Drosophila melanogaster: one gene and its partner. The protein of the gene in region 2 interacts with the protein of the main gene of each other region in a pairwise test. Each region holds a gene or a part of one and is shown on either strand. Other genes may lie near its edges.

Region 1 (6,270 bases), on a different chromosome or scaffold from region 2:
AAACGCGTGAAGCACATTCAAAACGTGAGAGATGAAAGAAATCTGAAAAGAATTGATGAATAAATTCTGCAATAAATAATTTTAAATATCCTCCTACCTTAATGTTTGTCGTTCGCCATTTATTTATGTTTTTTGCCGCTTCGGTCACCCGTGTGGCTCACAGCGCTTCAACTAAATGTTATCGAAGTTTATAAAACTTTAGAAACAAAACTAAAAAAGAACTCTAAGCCACACAAAAAACACACATTTTATTTGTAGACCATCTAGCTGAGTAGATCGATCGTTTGGTGTCGTAATTCGAGCATTCACTTTTAAAGCTGTATTACACTTTACAAATAATCGCAGTGGAGCACACAAGAAAATACATATGACTACTACTATATACATACAGCCCTATCTATATGCATATTAAAATAACTCGTTTGTGTTGATCAATGAAAATAAACTATTTATAATAATGAAACAAACCAGCAAAGGTCTTTTACTGCCAATTGTTTACTGCACTTCAATATTCGCCGGTTTGTTGGGTGTGAATCATACACAATTATTGTATATCAGCAAAGTGCAAGTTAATCTATTACACAGCTTTTTAAAAATATTACATCACCATCATCGCACGAGCTTATCGCATATTGCAGAATGAGTTAGTTGAAAACCTGAAAACTTTCCAAAATGATTTCAAACTTCAGGTACGTCGAGTGGTAAAGAGATTATTTATTCTTAATAACTTTGTTGCCTTGTATTCATACAACGAAAAAAAGTTTTGAAAATTTAAATTTATTTAGAATAATATCGTGTTACTTTTCGATTCTCTGTTATCATTATCATTCGAAATACAGTATAAGTATAATAATTAAATATTCTCTGTCTTTATAATAAATCCTTAAACATCACATGAAAAGTTTTTCTGTTGGGTTTTTGCCTTTGTTTTTATAAGTTCTAAACACTTTCCTTTCGTTCTTTGGTATCATTTTCATAATTTTTTCATATCGGGAAATCGAATATTTTCCGCTTGTTTCGTTAGCCTAGGAAAAACGTATCTAGAGTCCACAAAAGTTATAGACTTAGATCAAGACCTGTTTATAAATTTCGTTAATATATAGGTATATATAATAACTTAACAATAGTAAGTACCATATGTTGTGGTTTTTGAGGGTTTTGGTATCTGGGGATTCGGTTGTAAATACGTGTAAATACAGAATTTCATTTGGTGTAAGACGATTTCTCACTTTCTGGTTGTATAAACTCTCCAGCCTTGCCTTGAAGATTAGCATTCGCGATATAGGTAAAGAGGTCTGTATATATCGTTTAACTATAATATCTATATATATATAATATATCGCTTTTCTTGTGGGTGTGTGTTTTCGTTTGGTTTGAGAGTGCATCTGTAAATTGTAGGTACTTATAAACTAGCTACAACACAACACACATGCCACGCCATGTAAAATTGTAGGGTATCCTGTCCGAATTTTTGGTGGCTGAAAAAATCCATCAAAATGCTAAATCTTCTAACTAAGTTTCCTTTCGAATCGTTACATCGTTTGCTTTCTTTTTTTGGCATTATCTAAGAGAGGTCAAGAGTGTTTTTTTTTTTGGTTTTTCGTTTTTGGAAAACGTTGATTTGGCCATAAACTTTTTGGTAGATTTGTTAGCTTCGGTTGGGTTCTGTTTTCATCGTGTGAGAGTGTTTCCTTTGTCTGTGGTCTGAGTTTTCGTGTAAAAAGGTACATGATAAGATTGTTTCACGACTGATCGATCCCAAACTCCTTGACACCACTGCACCTACGTCGCCTGACCCTGGGTGGACTGGCCAGCCAGGCCAGAGGATATCGATGGTGTCGTACTGGTGGATGCGACTGCCGGCCCTCCGGATGCGGCAGTGCTCTGCTCCAGACTCCACGGATGCACCATATCGTAGTACCTGCGATAGTCGTAGTCAAAGAGCTCGAAATCGATGCGATATATCTTGAGCAATTGGTCCAACGTTGAGCGGTCGAGATCGGCGAAGTATCGCTCGACCAGGGCCTCGGATTTAACGCCACTTCGCGCCTGGTTGCCAATTTTGCGCTGCTTCCGCTGCGGCAGCTTGCCCAGTCCCAGGAGCAGCGATTCCAGGCCCGCCTGCCGTATGATGAACTCCGAGTCCCTCTGGAACGTCTCCGTCTTGCCGATGATGGTGAAGTTAACGCTGCAGGGCGTGCAGAAGCTGTAAACTGGTGCCCAGTGCTCGTCGAATCTCTTGCCCGCCGCATGCTCGGCGATCAGGAAGCGGACGAACTCCTCGAAGGTGGGTCCACATCGCGGCCAGGGTCCGCCCAGATTACGCTTCCTGTAGCGATGCACGATCTTGTTGCCCAGCGCCTTGTAGAAGGTGTTCTTGTTGCCCTCCAGTTTGTTGCGATAGGCGCTCAGGATTCGCTCGAAGGGATCGCGCACAAAGAGAAAGGACAGCGCACTGGGCAGCAGCTCCATCAGTTCGCCCAGTTCCGGGCGTGGAAAACGCTTTCTGGCCAGCTCCAGTGGCTGCGTCTCCGTGCGCTGCAGATACTTCACATCGTAGCCAGCTGGAAAGCCATAGTGAAATTTTAAAGAATATTCTTAAGACTTAAATAAATATCCTAACTTGAAGAGGAATATTGAGGAAGATATTTGTAATACCAAATCAATTAAAATCTATCTTTATCGGGTAATAATATAATAAAATGGAATATATATCTCTATATTTTTCAATTCAAGCTTACCTAATATATTAAAGTAATACATCCACGTACTGCTGGCCGCCTTGAAGACGTTGCACCTAAAAGTTAACCAAAAATGTTAATAAAATATAAATAAAATAGAGATGGGATGACCCACTAACCAGACGAGATTGTTGTGGCCAGGCGAGACGAAGAACTCCCAGGGATTCGGTGGGTACTTTTCCTGCAGCTTATACCGATCGCAGACGGCGGCCAGATGCTCGCTCCTCCTCTGCAGCTCCCGCTCCGTGCGACTGTGCAGCTCCTCGGAGTACTCATACACGGGATTCAGGGTGGTAGCCGGCGGCGGCGGCGGAGGAGCTGCTGCTTGGGAGGATGAGCTGCCTGCACTGGCATTTCCCCCAGCGATGCCCTTTCCCTGCTCCTGCTGCTTGGCCAATATCCGCTGGCGCTGCAACTGCTGCCGCTTTAGCTTGAGCTGCTGCTTTGATGGCTCCGATTCCGCCTCCAATTCCGCGGCCGTAGCCCGCTCCCGGTGCTCGTATGCATTGAGGGATTCGCGGAAAAGGAAGGCGAAGTAGCACAGGCCGACCAGGACACAGGCGCCTATCTTCAGATAGGTCTGCAGGCGTCTTCCATAGCGCAGGCGGATGAGCATCTTGCGAATCTACCAGGGATTCCTGCAGCGAGCTCGCTGCATGATCCACGGATGGGCGGTGGTTTCTATGGTGAGAGTGAACAGATTTCATCTCATATTATTATAATGTTTTAAATCTGGATATTTTACCATAAGTTTGAGCTTCAAAGGATTAAGTTTCTGTAAATTATGTATAATATCTTATAGATAGTTATGTATATTTATTTATAAACTATCTTGCAGAAAGTGCAATCCCAAAGATACCCTTTCGGATTCTGTTTTGGCCAGAAAGTGTGCATTAATCTTTCAGCCACCCCTGCTTTTTGGCTCTTTTGGCCAGGCGACACTTGTTGGTGTGTACACACCAAATGACACCCTCTGCCACATACACACGCACATGCCAACATTCGGGCCAACACACACACACACATAGCGACTTGGCAAACTACGTCATCGTGGCCCCAACACAGACGCACTTGAGCGAGTGAAAGACTCGGAAAGTAGGACGTCATCCTTAAGCGTCAACATGACCAGTGGTGCTATTTGCTGTTGCTGCAAGTTGCGCTCGCAGTTGCAACGCCAGTTCCTGCTTAATGTTGGCATGGGTTCACTTGTGGCCAGGACTGGGAATTGGCCGCCAATAGCTGCTGCTGGCACGAAGGCCCAACGTATTCACGGCACCTCGGAGACCACTTGAGCCAAGTTAAAGCTAAACTAGCTGGTAGTTAGCACAGCTGTGCGTTTATTTCTGGATGTCCGGGCAGTAAACCCCTCGCCTAATCCTTGGCCAGGATATTTGGCTTAACTTAACTTACTTTGAAGCGCGGCGGGCGTTAAAATATTTATCCTTTGCTTTTCGGGCGAGCTCCCTGTGTATACTGAAAGCCTACGGCTGCCCGCCTCTCCGCCAGCCCCCTCCTGCTCCTGGGGCCGCTCTGTTACGTGTTGCTTGTGGCTCCGGGGAATCCTGCTGCCTGCTCCGCTTCTGCCGTCCTGCTCGTGGCGGCCACTCGCTCTCAACTGCCAGTCGGCGGCGGATGGCCGCAGCTGCGGGTCCCTGGTGTTTCGAGCCAGCGTTGCTCTCCTCGAAAGCCGACAATCCTCGCCTGGCGCCGGCGCAGGGAGAGCACACCCACTGGGTGGCACTCTCTGGAGTTGCGAACGCTGCTCACTGGCCACCGGGAAAAATCACAGGACCTGCTAGAATCATTAACTAAGTTTAATGTTTAAAATATTTAATCTTTTCCTATTTAAATGAAAGGTTTTTATCAACTAAATTCAAAACCCTAAAATCCTTCATTGCTATACATTTTTCGGATTCCGAGTTATAAAAGTAGTTTTTAAGAACTCATCTTCCAAATTCCCAAAAATTCCAAAACACGGCATTCATTTATTTTTTGTGTATATTAAATCTTTGTATTTTTTTCTTTTTCTATAAATATTTTACTTTAAAGTACAAACAAATTAATAATAAACTTCTAATACTACGTTTTAAGACACTTTCGTTTTTTGTTGTTGTTGTTCATCTTGTGTGGTTTGTTTTTAAATATTTAAATATATCATTTATTTGTTTATGTGTGTTGTTTGTTTTGTTGCCTGTTTGTTTACGAAGCGGTATATAAATTATTCATACGTTCTATACAACATTTCCTCTTCCATTAACGTGTTTTCTGTGCTTTCTGGGCTTATTGCAGATTGCAGATTGCAGTTGGTTGTGGTTGTGGCTGTCCGTCCGGTCGGTCCAAAGTGTTTAAACAAAGTCCAAAGGATGGTGTGGTATGCAATTATGGTTTCGGGTTCTATATACGTTAGTTTAGCGGATCTATATGAATATATGCAGAGTTATGCTAGAGGGTTGGGTTTTACATACGCTTATGCTTTGTTTTGCCTTGCTTTAAAGTAAACATGTACAAAGTATCAAAAGAATTATTTTATGTAGCAATCATACAATATATATATATAAGGTAATAATAATATTGAACAATATATAATGTTGTTTTGTGTGTTTGTTTGTCTAGCGCTTTGCCTTTGCCTTTGCTTTGCTTTGCTTCAATTACTTTACTCATTGTTTTCCCCTATTTGTTCAAGTTCAAATAACATTTAGCAAAAATAGAGCCTGCCTTATATACAATACAACTTTTTGTTTGTGTGGTTTCTTTTTTCACGATATCCCATTTTCTTATGTGTGTTTTGCATATGCAAAATATATAACGTTATATAGTTCTTTTAACTTTGCAAAACGACAGATACTAGACGACTGATTCTCAATATTCTCCACTCATTTCTCCTTATATTTTTTCGATCTGTTTTTTTGTATTTTTTTTTTGTGGTTTTTTTTTTTTTGTAGGTGTTTTGTGTTTTCATTTTTTCTGGTGCTTGGCCTTTTTACATTTTTGACTAACTTATTGCATAGGTTTCCATGTGCATATATTGTTGGTAAAGAATTCGCGTTAAGATTACTGTCCTTAGCCTAAAGCATTTAAAACTAAAAAACAAATTTTCGAAACAACGCAAGCTTACGGAAACTAATACGCTATATATATATATATATTTATATATATCTGTATGTACTGTACTGTATTGTATTCGTATGTTAAAGGTTACAAAAATATAAAACCTAATGTTAACGTGTGGTCTGCTCTGATCTGCTCGATCCAACGGATCAGCTTCTTATAGACTTTCGACTGGGCGCAGCGCTTAAAAGTAGGACAACCTAATGCTAGAAATGTGTTCATGTTGCATCGTGAAGTAGAAGTATCCAAATATTTACAGAGCGGTCCATGGAAATAGGATTTTTCATTTTCATTTTCAAATTTCAAATTAAACTATGCATGCGTGAGAGTTTGGAGATGTTTGTTTTTTCAGTTTCGGCCAACTATATTCTATGTTAGTGTTTATGGGAGCTTCTCAAATACGTTACTCAACTAATTTGTT
Region 2 (3,712 bases):
CTGGAGTTCAAAGCTCTTCTATACAACTCCGTCTTAAAACCTATCTGGACTTATGGCTCCGAGCTGTGGGGCAACGCATCCAGAAGTAACATAGACATTATTCAGCGAGCACAGTCAAGAATTCTGAGAATTATCACTGGAGCGCCGTGGTACCTTCGGAACGAAAACATACACAGAGACCTAAAAATCAAATTAGTAATCGAAGTAATAGCTGAGAAAAAAACGAAGTATAACGAAAAGCTGACCACCCATACAAATCCCCTCGCAAGAAAACTAATCCGAGTATGCAGTCAAAGCCGGCTGCACCGCAACGACCTCCCAGCCCAGCAATAAACTTATTAGGGCATTAATGAAAAAAAAAAACTATCACTAAGTGAAAGTTAATTAAGTTAGATTAAGATTTGAACACTTATTGTTAGTCTCTTAACACAAAGGGAAGATTCAATAAATAATAAAAATTAATAAAAAAAAAAAAAAATTGTGTCGCTTGGCAATTTAATGAATTTTAATGAGAACTTACTCGCCGAATGCCAGTAACAGCTTGGTTCTGCATTCATTTTCATTTGTCTGTTTTGTGATGATTTTTGATTTTAGACAAAAGCATATGTACAAGACGATATGGATTGTTACTATAACCGACGACCCTCAAACTGGGAACATAAGTTCTCTTTTGATCTATATTGAGTAAAGAAATTTATAAATGAAGATCTACGTTTCCGAAATTCCCCCTATAGAGCTATAAAACTTTTGAATTTTTTAGAAATGATTTTTATTTTTAAGCGAAATTGTAGTTCCTGACTCCTTCCTAGATGCCAGTGTTAGTCTTGATCCAGTCCAGGTAGCTGGTCACACGAGTGAAGGCAGCGGGGTAGCCCTTCTCGCAACCGGCAGAGGCACCGAATGAGGTCAGACCGATCTGCTCGCTGGACGACTTGAGGACCAGAGGACCGCCGGAGTCACCGTTGCAGGTGGACTTGGCGTCGGTGGTGGCCACGCAGAGGGTTGAGTCGGTCACGACCGAGGTGCCGTAGGTTTGGGCGCACTTGGTGTTGGTGATCACAGTCAGGTCGACATACTGAAGATTGGTAGCCACACCACTGGAGGTGTCACTGGTGCGTCCCCATCCGGAGGCGACAGCGACGTCACCGACGAAGGTCGAGTAGGAGTTGGAGATGCTTGGCAGCTTGACGGCGGAGATCCTGCTGCTGGAGGAGGTGGCGGGGATCTTGATCAGGGAGATGTCGTTGCGCAGGTTAGCGCTGTTCCAGCCGGAGTGGATGATGATGTCGGAGCTGGACACGGTGTGGGTGATCTCGGCGGAGGTGCGCACGGTGGCGCCCAAGTAGACGGTCACGGACTGAACTCTGCGATAAATCAAACATACAATTGGTTAGGACATTGGTTCCAAGATATTTTCGGCATTCCTTCAAGGGACACTCACCCATCGGTACAGTGAGCAGCGGTCAGGACCCAGGTGCTGCCGATCAGAGAACCACCGCACCAGGCGCTGGACAGAGCACTCAGCTTCAGGGAAAGTCCCACCTGGTAGGGGAACTGGCCGACGGCGGCGTTGCTTCCTCCGGTGATGCGACCTCCAATGTCGCCAACGACGGGCATCTCGCGGCTGCGATGGCGCAGCTCCGGCTCGGGGAAAGCGGAGGCGGCCACAGCCAGGGCAAGGATGATCAGGAACTTCATCTTGGGAATTGTTGCTTGTTCAGTTAAGGGAACTCAACTGTTTGGCCAAGGACCAGCTGGGGTCTTTTATACTGGCCAAGTCGCGTCTGCGATTGGGTTGCAATTCAGAAATAGAGCTGTCCCGATTAGATAGGACCACTAAAGTCGGTTCGAACTACCTTATCTGTTGAGATTTTGTGCCGAAGATATGAATGAATGAACTTCAGCCACACGGTCGCCAAAATTACTTTCCCAATCCAAGAGTATTAATCCCGATACGGATCTAATCAGGGCTATGGGCTTCGAGTGGATTTCCAGATCGAGCCGCTGCGATACCAAAGGCCTAGCATGGGGTTGCTAATTAATTTGATTAGTTTTACACATACGCGATATATACATAACTATATATTGCGATACAAAATTGGCAAAGGTTTGCTTTGCTCTTCAGCGTATCTTATAATTCCCATGGTAGTCGAGTGCTATCTTATCTCCTGTCTATAGGGTGAGAAGCCGTAAGCCCACAGTTTAGTTGGGTTTGTTTACCTTCGATAAAGGTCAAGGAGTAGGACGTGAGTTGGTCAAGACTGCTTAAACTTCATAGGAAATCATACCGCCGTCTAACAATTGCGTATCTGGACTCTCTCTTTGATTACAAACACGCAAATTTCAGTTGTTTTCGCAACCGCAGCCTTCTTTATCAGCGAAAGCCGCGTGATTTTATGACGCGTTCAACCGACCACATCACTGCGGTTAATAGCCAATTCAGATGGCCAATTGAAGGCGATTAGCGGGAGGAGGCGCTGCGGTCTGTACCCAATATGCCCTCACCAAAAACGGACACTCAACCCAATGATTTCAATTTCAGTGGCGATTCATCAGCAATTTCCATGGCAATGTAATTTTTCTTTTGTGCCCTTATTGAGCTCCCCAAATTGACTTGCTCTTCTGCAATGCCGAAATGTTTATTGTTATTTATCGGTAACAATTTTCATTCAAGAGAAAACAACCACACATAAAATGGACCATTTGCACCTTCCTTTCTCGACAGAAGAACCTGTTTTGGTTTCATTGCTCAAATTGGTTTTATTGTCTGGGCCGACTATATTGTTTAGCAATTAATGGGCTGCAATTAGGCGTTAATTGCATTTAGTTGGTCATTGCCGTTTGCTGTCGGATCCATGGCAAATATGCGGTTATCCTGGTGTAGACAGTGGGACCCCCCACCTCGCATCCTTCGGCACTGCCGAACGAGGTGACCCCAATCAGGTAGCTAACATTGCGCCAGTGGTACACAACGGGGCCACCGGAGTCGCCATTGCAGGCACCACGTCCATTGCTTCCATCGGTGCACAGGTGACGTCGCTGGCTAACCAATCCTGGCAGGAAATAGCAGATGCAGCGTTCCTGATCGATCACCTCCGCATCTAAGTACTGGAGGAGTCGCGTCCGTTTGTCGGTTGAATCTCCCAAGTAACCCCAGCCAGATAGGGTCACCACTTTGCCTACCAGAAAGTTTTGATGCATGAACTCCCCAGCCAACTCAATGGGTTGCACTTGTTCTGAAGTTCTGACTTTTCTTGGCAGTCGTATTAAAGCCAAGTCACTATATCCTCCAAATCCCAAGTAATCAGGATAAATAATGAAATCTCTATGCGTGACTTGTAACTCCTCCACGGAGTCTTCTACATCGGCAAATACGGTGGCGCCCGTGTATATCTTTGCAGCTATGGCATCGGTCAGACAATGGGCTGCAGTCAAAACAAATTGAAGAGTGATAAGGGAACCACCGCACTTGACCAGATCTGCGCCACTCAGCTGAATCACCAGACCCACTTGATAGGGAAACATGCCGCGCGTGGCCAATTCTCCTCCAGCTATTCGAGTTCTCACAGCAGCGGTTTGATTACCTTCCATCTCGAATTTTTCGCAGCGAAGTCGAAAGTTTTCGTAGCCAAGCTGCCAACGTCTTTCCATGATTGCATCGTCATCGTCCGGTGTCTCCTCTTTGGGGTGCTCAAAAGTATCTAGCCAAGGC

Evidence for each region.
Region 1: the proteins of Jon65Aiv (region 2) and CG14024 interact in a two-hybrid assay, tested with the Drosophila melanogaster proteins (one large-scale study listed by BioGRID).

What each region holds. Positions count from the first base shown.
Region 1 is NT_033779.5:5,310,528-5,316,797, forward strand, and holds CG14024 (uncharacterized protein), read right to left. Parts: upstream 4,369-6,270; 5' UTR 4,152-4,368; intron 3,423-4,151; 5' UTR 3,358-3,422; coding exon 2,861-3,357; intron 2,798-2,860; coding exon 2,742-2,797; intron 2,565-2,741; coding exon 1,783-2,564; 3' UTR 784-1,782; downstream 1-783.
Region 2 is NT_037436.4:6,037,182-6,040,893, reverse strand, and holds Jon65Aiv (jonah 65Aiv), read right to left. Parts: upstream 1,740-3,712; 5' UTR 1,699-1,739; coding exon 1,442-1,698; intron 1,365-1,441; coding exon 806-1,364; 3' UTR 759-805; downstream 1-758. Other genes in the region: CG6462 (uncharacterized protein), read right to left, coding at 2,824-3,712.